Linked DNA regions of Rhinolophus ferrumequinum. The main gene of each other region encodes a partner of the protein of the gene in region 2 in a complex. Links are inferred from orthologs where the notes say so. Each region holds a gene or a part of one and is shown on either strand. Other genes may lie near its edges.

The links.
Region 1: EIF3J (region 2) and EIF3F share a complex: the UniProt entries of both Homo sapiens proteins name them as parts of the eukaryotic translation initiation factor 3 (eIF-3) complex. The link is inferred for Rhinolophus ferrumequinum from reciprocal best matches to the Homo sapiens genes EIF3J and EIF3F.

The regions. Positions count from the first base shown.
Region 1 is NC_046294.1:43,957,959-43,965,857, forward strand, and holds the start of EIF3F (eukaryotic translation initiation factor 3 subunit F), read right to left. Parts: upstream 3,128-7,899; 5' UTR 3,108-3,127; coding exon 2,720-3,107; intron 1-2,719. UniProt on the Homo sapiens protein: Component of the eukaryotic translation initiation factor 3 (eIF-3) complex, which is required for several steps in the initiation of protein synthesis.
Region 2 is NC_046289.1:61,567,878-61,576,101, forward strand, and holds the start of EIF3J (eukaryotic translation initiation factor 3 subunit J), read right to left. Parts: upstream 3,172-8,224; 5' UTR 3,079-3,171; coding exon 3,030-3,078; intron 2,944-3,029; coding exon 2,837-2,943; intron 1-2,836. UniProt on the Homo sapiens protein: Component of the eukaryotic translation initiation factor 3 (eIF-3) complex, which is required for several steps in the initiation of protein synthesis.

The DNA.
Region 1 (7,899 bases), on a different chromosome or scaffold from region 2:
TCCAAACGCTTTCAGATTTTCAGGTCTCCTCCAAGTCAATGAACAAAACACTGAACTCATTAGCTCCCAGTTCAGTCATGTGCATCAGTGGCACCAGGATTCTCCAGAGAACTAAAGCCCTGGAGTGACCGCCAATGCCTTCCTTTAACCATCACGCGGGGCCTATTCTCCCTTCACAAGGTCTCCTTTCGCCTGTTACTTCCTGCTATCAGTCTACTCCAGACCTTGACACTGTGACCGTCATTTTTCCAGCCTCTACACTCTCTCCTTGTAATTTAGTCTGCAGGGCTACCTGGAAGATTTTAATTATGTCTACATAGACCACTCCTCTAGGAGCCTAGTCAGAGAACCGTTTAGAGAGCGTCACCTGTACCTCCCGTCAGCCATCTGGTTCCATGGTCATAACCATATCATCATCCAGGAACCCTCTACCTGTGAAACTTCATCGATGTGAGTCTTTTACCACAAACTTCTATTCTAGTTCTGGTAACTTTATTCCCACTGCCCACATGTGTTTCTGGACCTAAGACGGCTAGTCCCTTGACTTCTCTACTTTTCTCTAATGTACTGACATCTCCCATCCCAGGCTTCAAGTGCTTCCCTCCTCACCACAGACCACAATGGTGCCTATACCCGTTAGTGTCTAGTTCCACCTTACTATGGTTTCTGCCTCCTTTGCTGAAACTATGTCCTCGAACCCAGTGGATACATAGTCTTTATCTTATTTGACCTCTCAGCAGCATCCGAAAGACTTGACCACTTCAAGCTTCTGAAATAGTTAAGTCTTCTATATTTTCCATGCCACTATGACATCCTTCTATTAGAGCATTTATCCTATTATATTCTAATTACCTGCATACAAGAGTGTATCTTCAGCTTCAATTTAGGGTTAGACTAGAGCTCGTTTGATCAAACTTTGAATTCTAGTACCTAACGATTTTATAGTACATAAAGCACCAGTGACTTCATTTAACCAAATGAAATATTTTTCATGAATTAATGTCTAACTGAGAAAATGTGTAAGTTCCTAGCAAGCAGAATCCATGATTCATTCTTCAGTAAGCACTGCCGCTGTCATACCTGACCCCTGTTTGGAAGAGAATCTGAAGATCTAGATTACAGTTATTCTAACTAGAGTCATTGTACCATTTAGGGCACTTAGCACAAACCTTGGGTGGAGAATTGTTTCTTTAGTTAAATAGCACCAGTGAGTTTGGGAAATTTGACAGTGTAGCTGAAAGAGAGTAAGTATTTGTCGAGTGCCAAGTCAGTGATGCAAAAATCATTTATTACAGAAGCTCAAAGCAGGACAGTCACAGAATGCTACCATACTTTGGGAAGTTAAGAATGAGGGTGAGGGTGAGAGTATGGGACGTAGGACCAATACTGAACACTTTTCCTGGAAGATGAGTGGAACTTGAACGGACAAGTGAGAGCAGGGAAGGCACTTGTGGCAAAGAAAATACAAACGCTTGAGAAAAACCATGGCAATGTTCGGAAAATAATGGATTGATTAAAGTTTCTGCAAAATGCTACTTTCTCAAATAAAAAGAGAATGTGTGTGTGTTTCAGGGGTGGTATAGGCCTGACATGGTGCAGGTTGGCAACCAACAGCCGTTTCGTACCTAATGTGTGCCCACAGTTTCATACCTAATGTGTGCCAGCAGTTAGATGCTTTCTGTAGTAAGTTTTCACAAAGACTAAGTCTAAAGTAGCCCCTGAAGGAAGTAGACTTTAGGTTATTTGTCCCAAGGCACAAGGCATATATTTGATGGAATCTGCCTCAAATTGTGTCCTCTTTGTAATACACCTATTGTTTTCTATGGTAGAAGGACTATTACATGTTCAAGAGTAAGAAAGAGAAATGATGCATACAATTGGAGTGGATGCACAAAGGGGTCTAAAATTTGTGACTTAGATGGAGTGAAAATGAATTTGATGAGACCAGCAGAATCCAGAAAAAGGGATAAATTACCAGTAATTCCTCTTTAGTGCGTCTTGGATTTACAAATTACTTTTAACATAAAATATCTATTTCCCCAAATTTGGGACATGGGTAGGGAAAGGTTATTCTTTGATTTGAAGGTTAAGCAGTATCATAAACATAATACAATTGTTTGTATCCAAATGGAGAATCAGAGACAGCTCTGGGGGAACAGCATCTACGAATTAGGGAGAGGAAGGGACAGGGGTTCAGGCTTACACACTTAGTTAATCAGATTATTACTGAAATTCTAAATGGGTTCCTGCCAAATCGGTTTACTTGCTGAGAGGGATATCTCTTAACAGATGCTCCCTTTGCCAACTGGTTAGAAACTTCTTTGCAAACACCTAGAAAATAAAGACATTTAGTAGATAAGCGGGAAAAAACGTGGTCACTGGGGAGTCAAGGGTTTTTGCCTTACTTAGCATTGGAACTCACTTTTGGTAGACTGGGGCTGATCATACTTGACGTGAAATGCTACTGGGAAGATTAAAATGTAAATGGCTCGGTACACGATATTTACTTAATACAGAACTACTCTTCATATACATTATGTTGCACAAAGTGACAGCAATCAGGCAAGAAAGTTCAAGTTCTTTGGGAAGATGAGTCCCAACAGGACGGTCCAATGGAGAAACAGGTAAGAGATCAACGCGGATGTGAAGAAAGGGGAGTCAGATAAAGGAGAGGTGGGAGGTAGAAGAAAACGTCAATTTTCTCTGACCACTTACTCACCCAGCAGGGTCCCGATAACTCGGGCAGCACCCTCGTTGCGTCGCTCGTAGCTGTCCACGATAGAGGCCAAAATGACAGGGTGCAGTCGGACCACACGGCCGCCGGGGAAGGGGCCGGGTAGAGCAGGACTAGCCAGCGACTGCGCCGGGGTCTGCGCTGCTGCTGGCAGTGAAGCCTGGGTCTGGCCCGGGGCCGCGGTCGCAGCCGCTGCTGCCGCCGGGTCTGGGGATGAGGATGGAGCTGGAGTTGGAGCTGGAACCGGCACTGGAGCCGGCGCCGGCGCTGGAGCTGAGGCTGGGGCCGGGGCTGGGGCTGAGGCTGGGGCAGCAGCCATGGCTGGGGTCGGAGTGGTGGGAGCAGCACTCGCCGGTACCGCCGGTGTGGCCATCTTGTCCAGAGAGAAGGAGCCTGGAGCGGAAAAGAGTAAGCTTGGAAACATTAGGAGCACCATAGGCTGAATATGCACCACGTGAACAAGGTCTTTGTGCCTATTGGTTACTGATGATGCTTCTCACGGCACTACAATTTCCGGCTCCGAGTTTGTGCTCTTCGATCTAGGTCGACGCGCATTCAGTGAGACCGAGCTAAATAGTTCCGAAGAAACTTGGGACCGCACTGGGAGAAGAGAAGCAGCTCCGTCTGCATAGTTGTCGCCAGATGGAGCCAGAACGCTGCACAAGTGTCGCAAATCGTGTTTTCAGACTTCAATGGGATAATGGCTGTCACGGTGCCTTATTATAAAGGGCTTTGTCCTTGACAGGGTCCTAAGGTGGTTTATTCATTAAATAAAATATGTGCCAGAGGCTTTTTAAAGGAATATATTAGTAAACAAAACAAAAATCGTTGTCCTTGAAAAGTTTACATTGTAGCGGGGAGAGACAAATAAGTACATTATATATGTTAGAAGGTAGGAAGTTCTAAGAAAAAGGAAAAAGTAGCGGAGAGTAATGGGTAATGAGGAGTTGTGAGGAATTAGGGTGGATCACAATGACAGTGTGAGATTTGAGTGTACTTGAAAAAGGCGAATGAGGTGGCCATTATGAAGTGTGAGGGGAAAAGAGCTTCCAGGTAGAGGGAACAGCTAGTGCAAAGCCCTGAAGGCAGGAGTAGGCCTGTTGTGTTTGAAGAGGCTATTTGGCAGCTGGAGAGTTAAGATCGGCCTGGAGCAGCAGGAGATGGACCCCTAAACAGGGATTAGAGATCATTAAAGACCTCCTAGGGCACAGTATGGGTAAGGACTTTCATTTTTAGTTTGAAAGAAATGGGGAACCATTGCCAAGTTTTGAGCAGGGGAGGGTCATGATTTGTCTTAGTTTTAAAAGGATCACTATAGCTGCTTTGAGAAAAATACAATAGGGGGCTCGGTTACTGGGGAGAGGCAGACGAGAAAGAGCAGAGGGACATGGTATGAGATTACCAAATCTAAGAGAGATGACGGTGGTTGGCACCAAACCAGTAGCAGTGCAAGTGGTGAGAAGTGGGCAGATTACAGGTATATATATATTTTTTTTTTTTGTAAGGAGGGCGCAGCTCACAGTGGCCCATGTGGGGATTGAACCGGCAACCTTGGTGCTAGTACCAACACCGCTCCAACCAACTGAGCTAATCGGCCACCCCCTACAGGTATATTTTAAAGGTAGAGACAACAGGATTTTCTGAGAAATTGTATGCGAGGTGTGAAAGAGAAAGTCAAGGATGACTCCAATTTTTTGTGCTGAGCAACTAGTATGAAGAAGTTGTCAATAATCGAGACAGTGAAAGCTACAAGTGCAGCAAGTTTTTGGGAAAAGATCCCAAGTTCATTTTTTTCTTAAACTTTTGTTTTATTAGTTTCAGGTGCACAAAACAATGTAATAGACATTTATCATTTATATCCCTCACACAGTGTCAACCCCTATCGCCCCACCCACTACCCCTCTGACATCGTACACAGCCATTACATTTCCACTGTCTCTATTCCTAATGCGGTACTCCACTTCTTGTAACTATATATATGTATACACACACACACACACACACACACACACACACACACACACACACACACATATATAAAATTGTAGTTGACATTATTGTTCCGCTTCAGGTGTATAGTGCAGTGATCAGGCATCTATATCATCCCTGAGGTGTAACGAGACAAGTATCCATCAGATACCCTACAAAATCTTTACATTATTGATTACATTCCCCAAATTGACTTTCGTATCCCTGTGGCCATCTTGTGGTTACCGACTGTGCTCTCTAATCCCCTCACCTTCCGCTTTATCCCTACCTTCCCTCCCATCTAGCAACCCTCAGTTTTTCCTCTATGCCAAGTTCATTTTTGGATGTATCACCATTGAGATGTATTATTATTATTATTATTATTATTATTATTATTATTATTATTATTATTTGGTAGCTATTATTGTTGCTATGTGATGGAAGGAACTCTGATCCTAACTTACAGTGTAACTCTGGGCAATCTATAATTTTTTCTGAGTCTCCGTTTCCTGTTTGGTCTAACGGGGTTGATAATAGCTGCCTGTCAGGAAACCTATCAACTCCCTTAATTAGGTTAAGTCCCAGCGTCCAGCTGTCAAGGTGGATGGGGGATTTTGGGCTTCTTAGCCCCAACTCTTATGCCCAAGAACTGCTTTCTCCTTGGAGCTACCTTCTATAATTAAAATTCACGTAATCCTACTCCCGTCAGTGCTCTGGGTAAACATACATATTCTTAGTTCCCTCAAACACAGGTGAACAGCTTATCAGAGGAGGATTGAAAAATGACTCTTGGATTTGATGACCTCGATTTTTAGCAACCCTAGTAGAGCACTGTCAGTGAAACTGAAGGTGGGGTGCGCTTGGAAACTGGAATTCAGGTGTGAGAGAATGGTCAATTTGAATTGATGGCAGTAAGTGCTGGCTACTCTCTCAAGGAAGTTGCTGGGAAGGAAAAGAGACATTTAAGGCAGTAGCTGTGGAAAGGGGGACAGTTTAGGCTGGAAGAGTTTTAAGTATATTTTAAACGAAGAGTAAGAATCTCAAGAAGGGAGAAAGATTGAATATACAAGTGTGAGCAAGGGAAGCTATCTAATGAAACAAAGCAGGAAGTGGGACCCAAATGGAGAAGCCTAGATGAGAGAAATGGTCTTGGGCAGGACGAGGGATATGTTGGAGAGAGACTCCGGGATATGGCCTCCTTTATGGGTGCCATATGGGGGTCTGCCGTAGCCCAGGGTGGTGCCGAGATCATTCCATGGGGAGAAATTCAGAGGAGAGCACCATCCCCAATGAAGAGGTGTTGCTGTCTCGACCTGACCACGCACAACCTTGGTACTTCCCATTCGTATGTTGATTTGAGTTGGGTGTGGACTCTTCACCACCCTGAACTTTGCCTTTGTATCGATGGTCTAAAGACCTTTCTCTCTGGTAGGAAAGGAAAAAAACGATGGATGAAGAATCGGAGACACTTTGAATTGGAAAGAGAAGGGAGTTGCAGGAGCTCTTGTCAAATGATGTTTATTTTTTCTCAGGGAAGCGGAGGCAAAGTGATCTGCTGAGAATGGCAATGGATAGATAGATCGGGTTCAGCCTTGGAGCAAAGGGCAGTATTTGGAAGAAGGGCCGAGAGTGAGCCATCAAAGGCATTGAACAATTATGGGAGGGCCCAGCTGAGCCTGGAGACCTCAAGGATCTGGTCAGCTTTTGTATTTTCCTCCAGCCACATAGCTCAGGGGCAGAAGGAGGGTGATCATTGGCATTGTCTTCCTGGGGATGCTGATTGGCCAGGACAAGGGAATGCATACTCGTACATCCAGGATGCTGAGGGATCCAGGCAGGCAGAACCCTATTTATGGAGTGCATAAATGTGTGTGTGTGTTTGAGGTGTGTGTGTGTGTGTGTGTGTGTGTGTGTGTGTGTGAGAGAGAGAGAGAGAGAGAGAGAGAGAGAGAGAGAGAGAGAGAGACACAGAGAGAGAGACCCATACCCATCAGCTAGCTTCATCTGTCTGTCTGTTTCTCTCTCTGACTGTTTTGTCCGCTCATTTCTCTCTTGTGCCTCTTTGTATATCTTAGCTGACAGTTTCCATCCTTGGTCTCTGTTTCTTTTGTCTCCACCTCTTCCCTTTTTGGGACTGTTATACCAGTTGTCAGTTCTGCCCACAGCCAGACCAGGGTTAACAGGGAGGGAGGCTTCATTTCATTTCCTGCCTCTAGCCTCCAATTAAAATTGGTTATTTTGCATATCATTTCTACTTCCTTTAGGTGTGACTCTCAGTCCCTGGCCCTGCGATCTCCAGACTGGGAGGCTTCTAGGGGAGGCAGACCTGAGAGTCTTCACAGTAAGTGGCTTTACTCGTTTCTTCTGTCACATGGTCTATGTGGCTGTGTCTCACTCCATTTTCCCATCTTGGTCCCTTGGGCTTGGTTCTTTGCTGTCTTGCTTCTGTCTCTAGCCATAGTTTGGTTAAGGCTCTGGGACAGACCAATCCCATTCCTGCCTGTTTTCCTGGACTCTGGGAGAACCTGCTGAGCAACGGGCACTGGAGCCCTGGAGTGGGAGGAGAGGTACCTGGGAGACAGCCACCTCACAGCCTGCCTAAGCCAGTCCTCCACCCTTAAGGGATGCTCTTTCTCATCCTTTGTGCAGAATATAGGGACCGCCAGACACGATTGTCCCCATCTTCTGACCACAAACCCAATACATCGACCTTGCTCTGCCAAACAATGTCTCTCACTTTCCTCGGGCATGAATGGAGGATGTTCCCTCCATCCTCCTGCCAAAGGCTTTGAACTCTATCCCAATCCACACTCTCAATCGTCTCCTCTAGTACTTCTCTCTCCCACTAGCGTTTCTAACTTGACCTTTCTGTTGGATTTTTCATATTTTTGGTCAGCATTTGCCACCCTCTCCCATGTGAAAAACAAACAAAACCGTGACTTAATTCCTCATCACCTCAAAATCACCAATTCCTTTTGTTGCCAAACTTCTTGAAATATTTGTCTATACATGTGTTTTTTTTCTTTTTGCATCAATATGTGTTAACTCCATTTCTTTACCTTCTATCCTTTCATTGTTAATTTTTATTTTATCAAGTGACACATGCTCATAGTTTAAAAAGCCAATTAGCATTAAAAAGCTTATGCTCCAAATACAGTAGTTTTCTGGTCCACCCCCTTCCCCCACTATCCCCAAGT
Region 2 (8,224 bases):
ACAAGTGAACAATTCCTCCCACTGCCTCTGCATAACATCAGTATAGTAAGGAAAGTATAATAAAGCCAAAGTGGCAGCAAAGCACACTCCCTAGCTTTCACCTTTGTAACTGGGAAGAAGCATAGGCTTTACCCCCACGCCATGAATATTAACAATTCTACATTTTTACCTAAATCCACTTCCGCCACTGCCAGCTTTTTGAATAGTCCAGGCAGCAAAATGCTATAATGTCTACTGAAAGATAGTAACTACTGGAGCAAATTACTGTAACAAAGACCTCAATTTTCTTTTCATTTCTTAGGATGCTACAAATGACATTAAATCTATATTCTTTAAAGTTAAACACTAGATACTGACATAAACTGAAGAACTTACTGTTCTACATATCTTTTGAAGAATTTTTAAAAATTCACATATTGCATTAAAGACTATGATTATTCGATCTCATGGAAACTAAGCATTGTGTGCATCTCTTTACCAAAGAATTAGGTACTAAAACATTAGAAATAAGAAATTCGGTATTACTACTGTCCAAGGTGACAAAAATTTAACTCTAGATTGGTAACCTCTGAGCAATCAAAAACTTGCTAGATAAACATGGCCATTCTATTCAGAACACAAACTTCACAGTAAACAGCTACCGTGGAGAGAACTTACTTACTCCTTCTGAGCTTAGGAAACCACAAAATATGGCACAAAATAAACCCCACATACTAAATCTAAACACCTAAGCATACTTTCCATTAGCCAGAAAAATTAAGACATCTTGAAGTAAAAGAGAATTAACATTTGAGTGGCTACCAAGTCCCAGGCAACTCTGCTTAATGCTCCACATAATAAAATGTAAATTATCCCTGAGATAGCTCCTATAATGATGGCATTTACAGACTGGGGAACTAGAACAGAAAGATTAGAAAACTTGTTTATGACCACAAATATAGAAAATGTCGAGCCAACAATATAAAGCCAAGTCTGTCTGATTCCAGAGCCCAAGAATCAAACTACTACATGGATACCATATCTTGGGAATTTTGGAGAAACTCAACAGAAATAAATCAAAATTTCAACTCAGAAATAAAATGAACAAGTTTAGCTTTCTTCTCCAAGATCAACTTCAAAGTTTATGTAAAAGCAGCTATTTGTATAAAAGAAATTGTGCCTGAAAGAGTGACTGGACAAGACGAACTTCATGGTCCCTTACAACTTGTAAATCACCAAAATTAGTTCCAAATGGTCAGAATTATTATCTATCAGGATTGACACAATTTAGGTTCAATAATCTCAGACAGTCTACTTTATAATATCAGTGCAGACAACTCCATTCAAACTTCATTTTCTGGCACTTCCCGCCCCCATCCATCCATTTCTCTAATCTTTTCTTTTCATTTGTTAACTTATTCCCAGTTTTCATAATGGATGTCTTAACTGCCGCATCCAGTATGCATAGAAAAAGCGAAAGGACAACTCTGAACTAAAGACTCAACACAAAATCCCCTACAATGTAGAGGTAACTAGTATCTTGCAATGACGCTGTTAACACAATCCATTCCCAAGTCTACACTACATCTGAATAGAAGTAGCTTCACAATAGTCCTACTCATTTATTAACCCAGTGTGTGCAAAGCTCCCATCATTCCTGAACCTCAGGCTGTTCGATAAATTGGACATTCACCTCAGCAGACACAGGAAAAAAGGGTAAAATCCAAACAAAAGCAGTATTATTAACAGTGATTATCTAGCTTAAACTTTTTCAAACCAAGCAGAAGGACTTGTAGGGTTCTGAGTATATGCTGAAAGGTAGAAGAAAGTAAAATATTCACTAAATGAATCAAAACCACAAAATACCATTTTCTAATTCATACAAAACTTTTATCTGTACAAAATGAAACGATTTTGAGAATTCTGTTAATAAGAGTCTTAACATTCTGAGCTTGAGACTTTTGAAACTATTAAAAAATGCAGCAGTCATAATCTCATCTGAAGCCATATGATCAGCCCCGCAGGAATTTTCAAAAACAATCTACAAGGCATAGAAAAACAAACAAAAAAAACCTGGTCCCCTCTCTACTCTTACCACCTTGCTATCTCCTTAGGCGTCATTCGTGTGTAAATTAATAAGTCACTCTGTCAACTCTGCATTTTTCAGGGTTGCTGTGTGGACTACCCAGGTTTCTGACCAATAACTTCTGGCTATTCAGTACTCAGTTCATCCTTTTACCAGTGTATCGGGAAGGAGGCTAAAAGTTATTTCACTTTACTGCTTCTATTTCTCGTGCGGAAAAAGGTTAAAATTAAGCCATAATATTTCACTCATCTACTTGTTCAAACTGTACAAACGGGCCTTCGGAGACATAAATGAATTTTCAGCCCTGGGGAGACCTCAGCTCAAAAAGGCCGGTGGGTTGTAAGATTTTTCCATATGGCAGCCATGGAGGCTCAATACCCAACTTCCCGGTCTCACCTCGGCGAGCAGTCCCCAGACTGCGAAGTTTGCACGTGGGCTGGCCCAGCCGCTGCTGTCACCTTCCCGTCGCCAGTTGGCGGGTGGGATCCAGGCCGGGGCGTCGACCTTTTTTAAAGAAACGCCGGGGCCACCGCTGCCGCCCTCGCCAAGGAAATCCGGAAGGCCACACTACCCGTCTCCGGCCCATATGGCCCGCGAGCGGAGGGGAAGCAGGACACCGCTGGGCTCGAAGCTCGTGCCTGGACTCACGGCCCGCAGGCCCGGGCGGCGCCCCTGGGCCCAGAGTCCACCCGCCCGCCTTTCGGCGACCAACCCCGCCCCAGACGGCGTCAGCCCGCTCCGGCGCTGCTCGGAACCCCAGCCTGCACCCACCTTGACGTCCTCGTCCTCGTCCTCGCCTTCCCAGCGGTCTCCGCCGGGGGTGCCCCCGCCGGCCCCCACCTTTCGCACCGGGTCTTCCACGGCGAACGTGTCCGCGTCTACGGAAGAGAGTGAGCCACGTTAGTGCCTGCCTCGGCGTGCGGCCAGCGCCGGCCCGGGCTCTTCCCCCGGAACTTCTCCTCACCCCAGGAGTCGGAGTCCCCCGCCGCTGCCGCTGCTGCTGCCGCCGCCATCTCGAGCCGGGTGTGAGCGTGTGTGAGCGGAGAGCCAGCGAGGACTTAGCGCGGCGGCGGTGAGTCACTGGATTTGCTCTCGTTGGCCGCGCGGGGCAGGCTGGGACCGTGGCTGACTCTACGCCGGAGCCCAGGCCCCGCCCCTCTGGCGGCGGCGCCGGCGGCGGCGGTGACGCGCGCGCGGGCGGGAATGGGGCGTGGGACGTGGCCTTTGGAGCCGGGGTCGCGTGGGAGGGCGTGGCCCAGCGTCCAGTGCCCGCGACGCCGGACAGTCCTGTAGACTACTGGGGCGGAGAGAGACGAAGCGGCCAGCAGATGGCCACGCCACTCTGAGCCCCGGTAAGGAAACGTAAGTGTGGGGAAGTTACGACGGTCCCTTGCCTAGGTGCTTGGCCCTGGCCTGTCCTCGCCACACCTCCTGCCTACCACTGCCACGCCCCAACCGATCCGTCACTTTGATCGCCGCCGGTGGCTGCTGACGGATGTCAAGGAGACTTCCAGCCTTTCCACGCCACGCTCGGAATCAGGCTCCGAAAGCCATGCGCGCCTGTAGGGGAGGTGGACGCGCCTCGCCGACTCCCGGAGGGTGCAGTCGTGCTCAGGGGGAGGGGACATCCCTCTGGAAGCTGGCGTTTGTGGTGCTCCCGAGACGGGCGAGTGGAGAAGGCGGCTTTCCTGGCAACCTTCCCAGGCTGGGTGCTCAGATTCAGCTCTCTGCACGTTTGCCTCGAGGTAGTCACGAAGGAATCGAAGAGAGCCCCAGTGCTCGAGGATTTTCCCTGTGAGCCTCTTCAGGCCAGTACATGATTCATTCTTTCGCAGAACAACTTCGGAACTCGGTTTGCGCTAGGCATAAACTCTAGTCTTGTCCCCATGGAATGCACCATCAAGCAGCCAAGGTAGACGTGTAAATAAACTTCGACACAGTGTGATGACTGCAACAAAAGGAAGCATTGTGAGGTTAAATGTAAAAATGTAACTTTAACGGCGGGGCGGGGGGAGGGGAGCGGGAGGATGCGTGAAAGGCTTCCCGAGGTAAACGCTGCGAAAACGAGTTTGAAAGACCAAGTGAAATTGCTCCAGAGCATTTCCCGCAAAGAACGGAAGTGGTCCCTGACCTGAGTGGCGAAATTGAAGATAAACTGAACAGGTAAACTGATTATAATAAAGGGCTGCAGATAGGTTAAGCTGCATTCTGCCATGTGGGTCAGTGGGCTACACTGCAAGGTTTTTGAGATGAATAGTTTGATATTTTTAGTTGTTTTCTTAATTTGTTTTCAAATATGTAATACACTTAACTTGGTACGACATTGTTTATAAAAGGGTTTATACAATGATCAGCCATTCTATTTCTACTGGTAACCATTTTCCCCATTTCTTCATCTCTTTCAGAGAGTCTACAAATACACATTTTTATAAAGATGGTCTTTTAAGAGACATTCTACAGCTCAGTTACTCAAAGTTTGTTCCCAATCCAGCAGCAACACCTGGGGAGCTTGTTAGAAATGCAGACTCTCAGGACCCATCCCAGACCTAATGAATCAGAATCTGCCTTCTAACAAGATCCTCAGATGATTCTGCATATTAAAGTGTGAGAGGCAGTGATACACAGACATCCATTTGTAAAGATGAATTGGAAGGAGGCAAGACAGAAGGCAGGGAAACCCTGAAACGTAAGAAATGTAAGGTCCCTAGAGCACAATCTTTTATTCAGTGTTATCTCCAGCATTTGACAGTGTCTAATATATAAATTAATATTTTTTTAATTAAATGAGAAGAACACAAGCCTCAAATCAGGCAATGGTAACAGAGAGGAAGGAACCAATTGAGAAATATTTAAGGGTCAAAATCAACAGAATTTAGTGACTGATGGTTAATTTTGTATCAACTTAGGTAGGCCATGGTACTGCTTTTGGTCACACATTAGTTTTTGCTGTATTATATATATTTGTCGTATGTTATTTTATATATATATATATATACATATATATATATATATTTTTTTTTTTTTAAGATTCTATTGGGGAAGGGGAACAGGACTTTATTGGGGAACAGTGTGTACTTCCAGGACTTTTTTCCAAGTCAAGTTGTTGTCCTTTCAGTCTTAGTTGTGGAGGGCGCAGCTCAGCTCCAGGTCCAGTTGCCTGTTAGTTACAGGGGGCGCAGCCCACCAACCCTTGCAGGAGTCCAACCGGCAACCTTGTGGTTGAGAGGATGCGCTCCAACCAAGCCATCCAGGAGCTCAGTGACAGCTCAGCTCAAGGTGCCATGTTCAATCTTAGTTGCAGGGGGCAGAGCCCACCATCCCTTGCGGGATTCAAGGAGTTGAACCGGCAACCTTGTGGTTGAGAGCCCACTGGCCCATGTGGGAATCAAACTGGCAGCCTTCGGAGTTAGGAGCACGGAGCTCCAACCGCATGAGCCACCGGGCCGGCCCCTGTCATATGTTATTAACATTTAAATCAGTAGATTTTGAAAGCAAAGCAGATTACCCTCCATTATGTGGATGGGTCTCATCCCATCAACCTTAAGAACACTGAGGAAAAAGGAATTCTGGCTGTAGACTGCCCTTGGGCTCTGCAACATCAGCTCTTCCCTGTGCCTGTCATCACAGTCACCCCCAGCATGCCGGCCTGCCCTGCAGAATTTTGGACTAGCCAGCTCCCACCATCTGGTGAGCCATTCCTTAAAATAAATCTCTAAATATACACACATCCCAATGATCCTGTTTCTCTGGATAACCCTGACTAAACAGTGACTGATTGGATATGGAATGGGTGGGGAAAAAGAGATTGGGTGGTAGTGACACCTATCTATAGGTGCTCTTATCAAAAACCTGGGAGTTAGGGCCGGTTCGGTGGCTCAAGCGGTTAGAGCTCTGTGCTCCTAACTCCGAAGGCTGCAGGTTCGATTCCCACATGGGCCAGTGGGCTCTCAACCACAAGGTTGCCAGTTCAGTTCCTCGAGTCCCGCAAGGGATGGTGGCCTCCACCCCCTGCAACTAAGATTGAACACGGCACCTTGAGCTGAGCTGCGCCTTGAGCTGAGCTGCGCCCTCCGCAATTAAAACTGAAAGGACAACAACTTGAAGCTGAATGGCACCCTCCACAACTAAGATTGAAAGGACAACTTGACTTGGAAAAAAAAAGTCCTGGCAGTACACACTGTTCCCCAATAAAGTCCTGTTCCCTTCCCCAATAAAAATCTTTACAAAAAAACCTGGGAGTTATCCTTGCTTTCTTCCTCTCGCTCACCTCCTAAATTCAATCCATCACCAAACCCTGTGATTTACTTTCAATATTAATCTTGAATCCTTTTAATTACCTCCATATTGGTACCACCTTAATCCAAGCTTTCTCTAGACTCTTCCACTATAATAACCTCCCAATTGGTTTTCTTCCACTCTTCCCCCTCCGCAGTCCATTCACTCACTACACACCAGGCAATTTGCTTATTTAACAATGTAAACCAAATTGTAACACCCCTTCCTCCCAGTTGAAATCCCTTTAGTGGCTTATCATTTTTACAGTAAAATTCAGCTGCTTACTGTGGCCTATAAAGCCCTGCATAGTCTAACTCCTACTTCCATCCAGCCCCCTTATGCCATTCTCTCTCATTAACTTCATTGCTACTGGCTCTCTAAGGCTACTAAGCTTTTTCCTATTTTTGGACTTTCTGCCTACAGTGCTCTTTCCACACCTCTTTGCATGATTGGCTTTTCTTCCTCCTTCAAATCAAAGTTCATATGTGATCTTTGCAGGAAGGTCTTCCCTGATCTCCCTCTTGCAAGGGACCTTTCCCAGTTACTCTATCTCATCCCTGTTTTGTCATAGCATTTATCACAGTCTCTAATGACTTTGACGACTTATTTAAGTCTGTTTGGAGCGCAGGCACCTACCTTGTCTGTTACTTAATACTGTAGTTCCAGTGCTTGGCATGTGGCAAATGCTCAATAAATGTTTTTGAAAATGGCTGTATAATGCCTGTCATCACAATCAGGAATAAAGTTTTGGCTCATAGATCTTGACATTCCTGAGGGACATGCCTAGTACACGTTTGGAACTGGAGAAGCCGAGGCTACAGATAATTAGGAGTACCTGATTATGGCAGTGGATGGAATCACGTGAAAGAGGCCGTCTGCAGATAGGATAGAATGAGAAGAAACCTTGAAGGACATCAACATTTAAGGAGCAACCAGAGGAGAAAAGTATAGAAAGAATAGTAAGATTTTAAAAAAGAAATTTGTACCACGTTTTTTTGGTAAAAAATACAAATAAATTTTAAAATACTGTGGAACATGGTATATTTGAAAATTCCCTGTTGGAAGTCAGGAGACCTGGGTTCTAGACATAAAAATGATCTAATTATATTGAACTGAACACTGGACACTTCTGGTGAGGGGTGGGGAAAGCTCACAATTCCTCCTTGTCTGGAAATTGTCCTAGAACACAAGTGTAGGTGGGCCCCCAAAGCCACATTTGCTCCTTTACCACTGCTGATTTGGGAAGGGGGGTCAGAGGCAGATTAACTGAAGTTAATGAAGCTCTAGCTTCAGGGCCTCTCATTGCATGGGCTCCTCCATTTTTAAAGAAAGCCCTCCAAATTGTGTAATATATGCATGCATCAAACAATATGAAATCTGGTTCTGCCCTTAGGTGGGGTATAAGTAACCCAGTGGAATCCTCAAATTCTCTGGTAGCTAGTCTCTAAAGATGGTCCTTCAATGAAGAGTTATTCAGGCCCTTATGTGGTCTCCTTCCCTTGAGTCCTGGACTAGCCCTATGATTCATTTTTGACCAGTAGAATAGGGCAGAAGTGACACCCAGTGTTACCTATCACGAGCCTTGCAGCTTCCACCTATGCTTTTTGGAATGCTCACTCTGGTGGAAGTCAGCTGCCATTTCTGAAGTCTTTACTAGCCTGTGACCATCATGTGCTGTTTCATGCTAACCACATGGAGAGGCTGTTTAGAAAAAGAAATACTCAGCCAACTCTGGCTGTTTCAGATATCCCTGCAGAGAGACTCCAGACATGGGAGTGAAGAAGCCATCTTGGACATCCAGCCTAGTTGAGCCTTCAGATGATTCCATCCCCAACTACCATTTCAACGTCACCAAGGAAGACCCCAAGCAAGAGTTGACCAGTC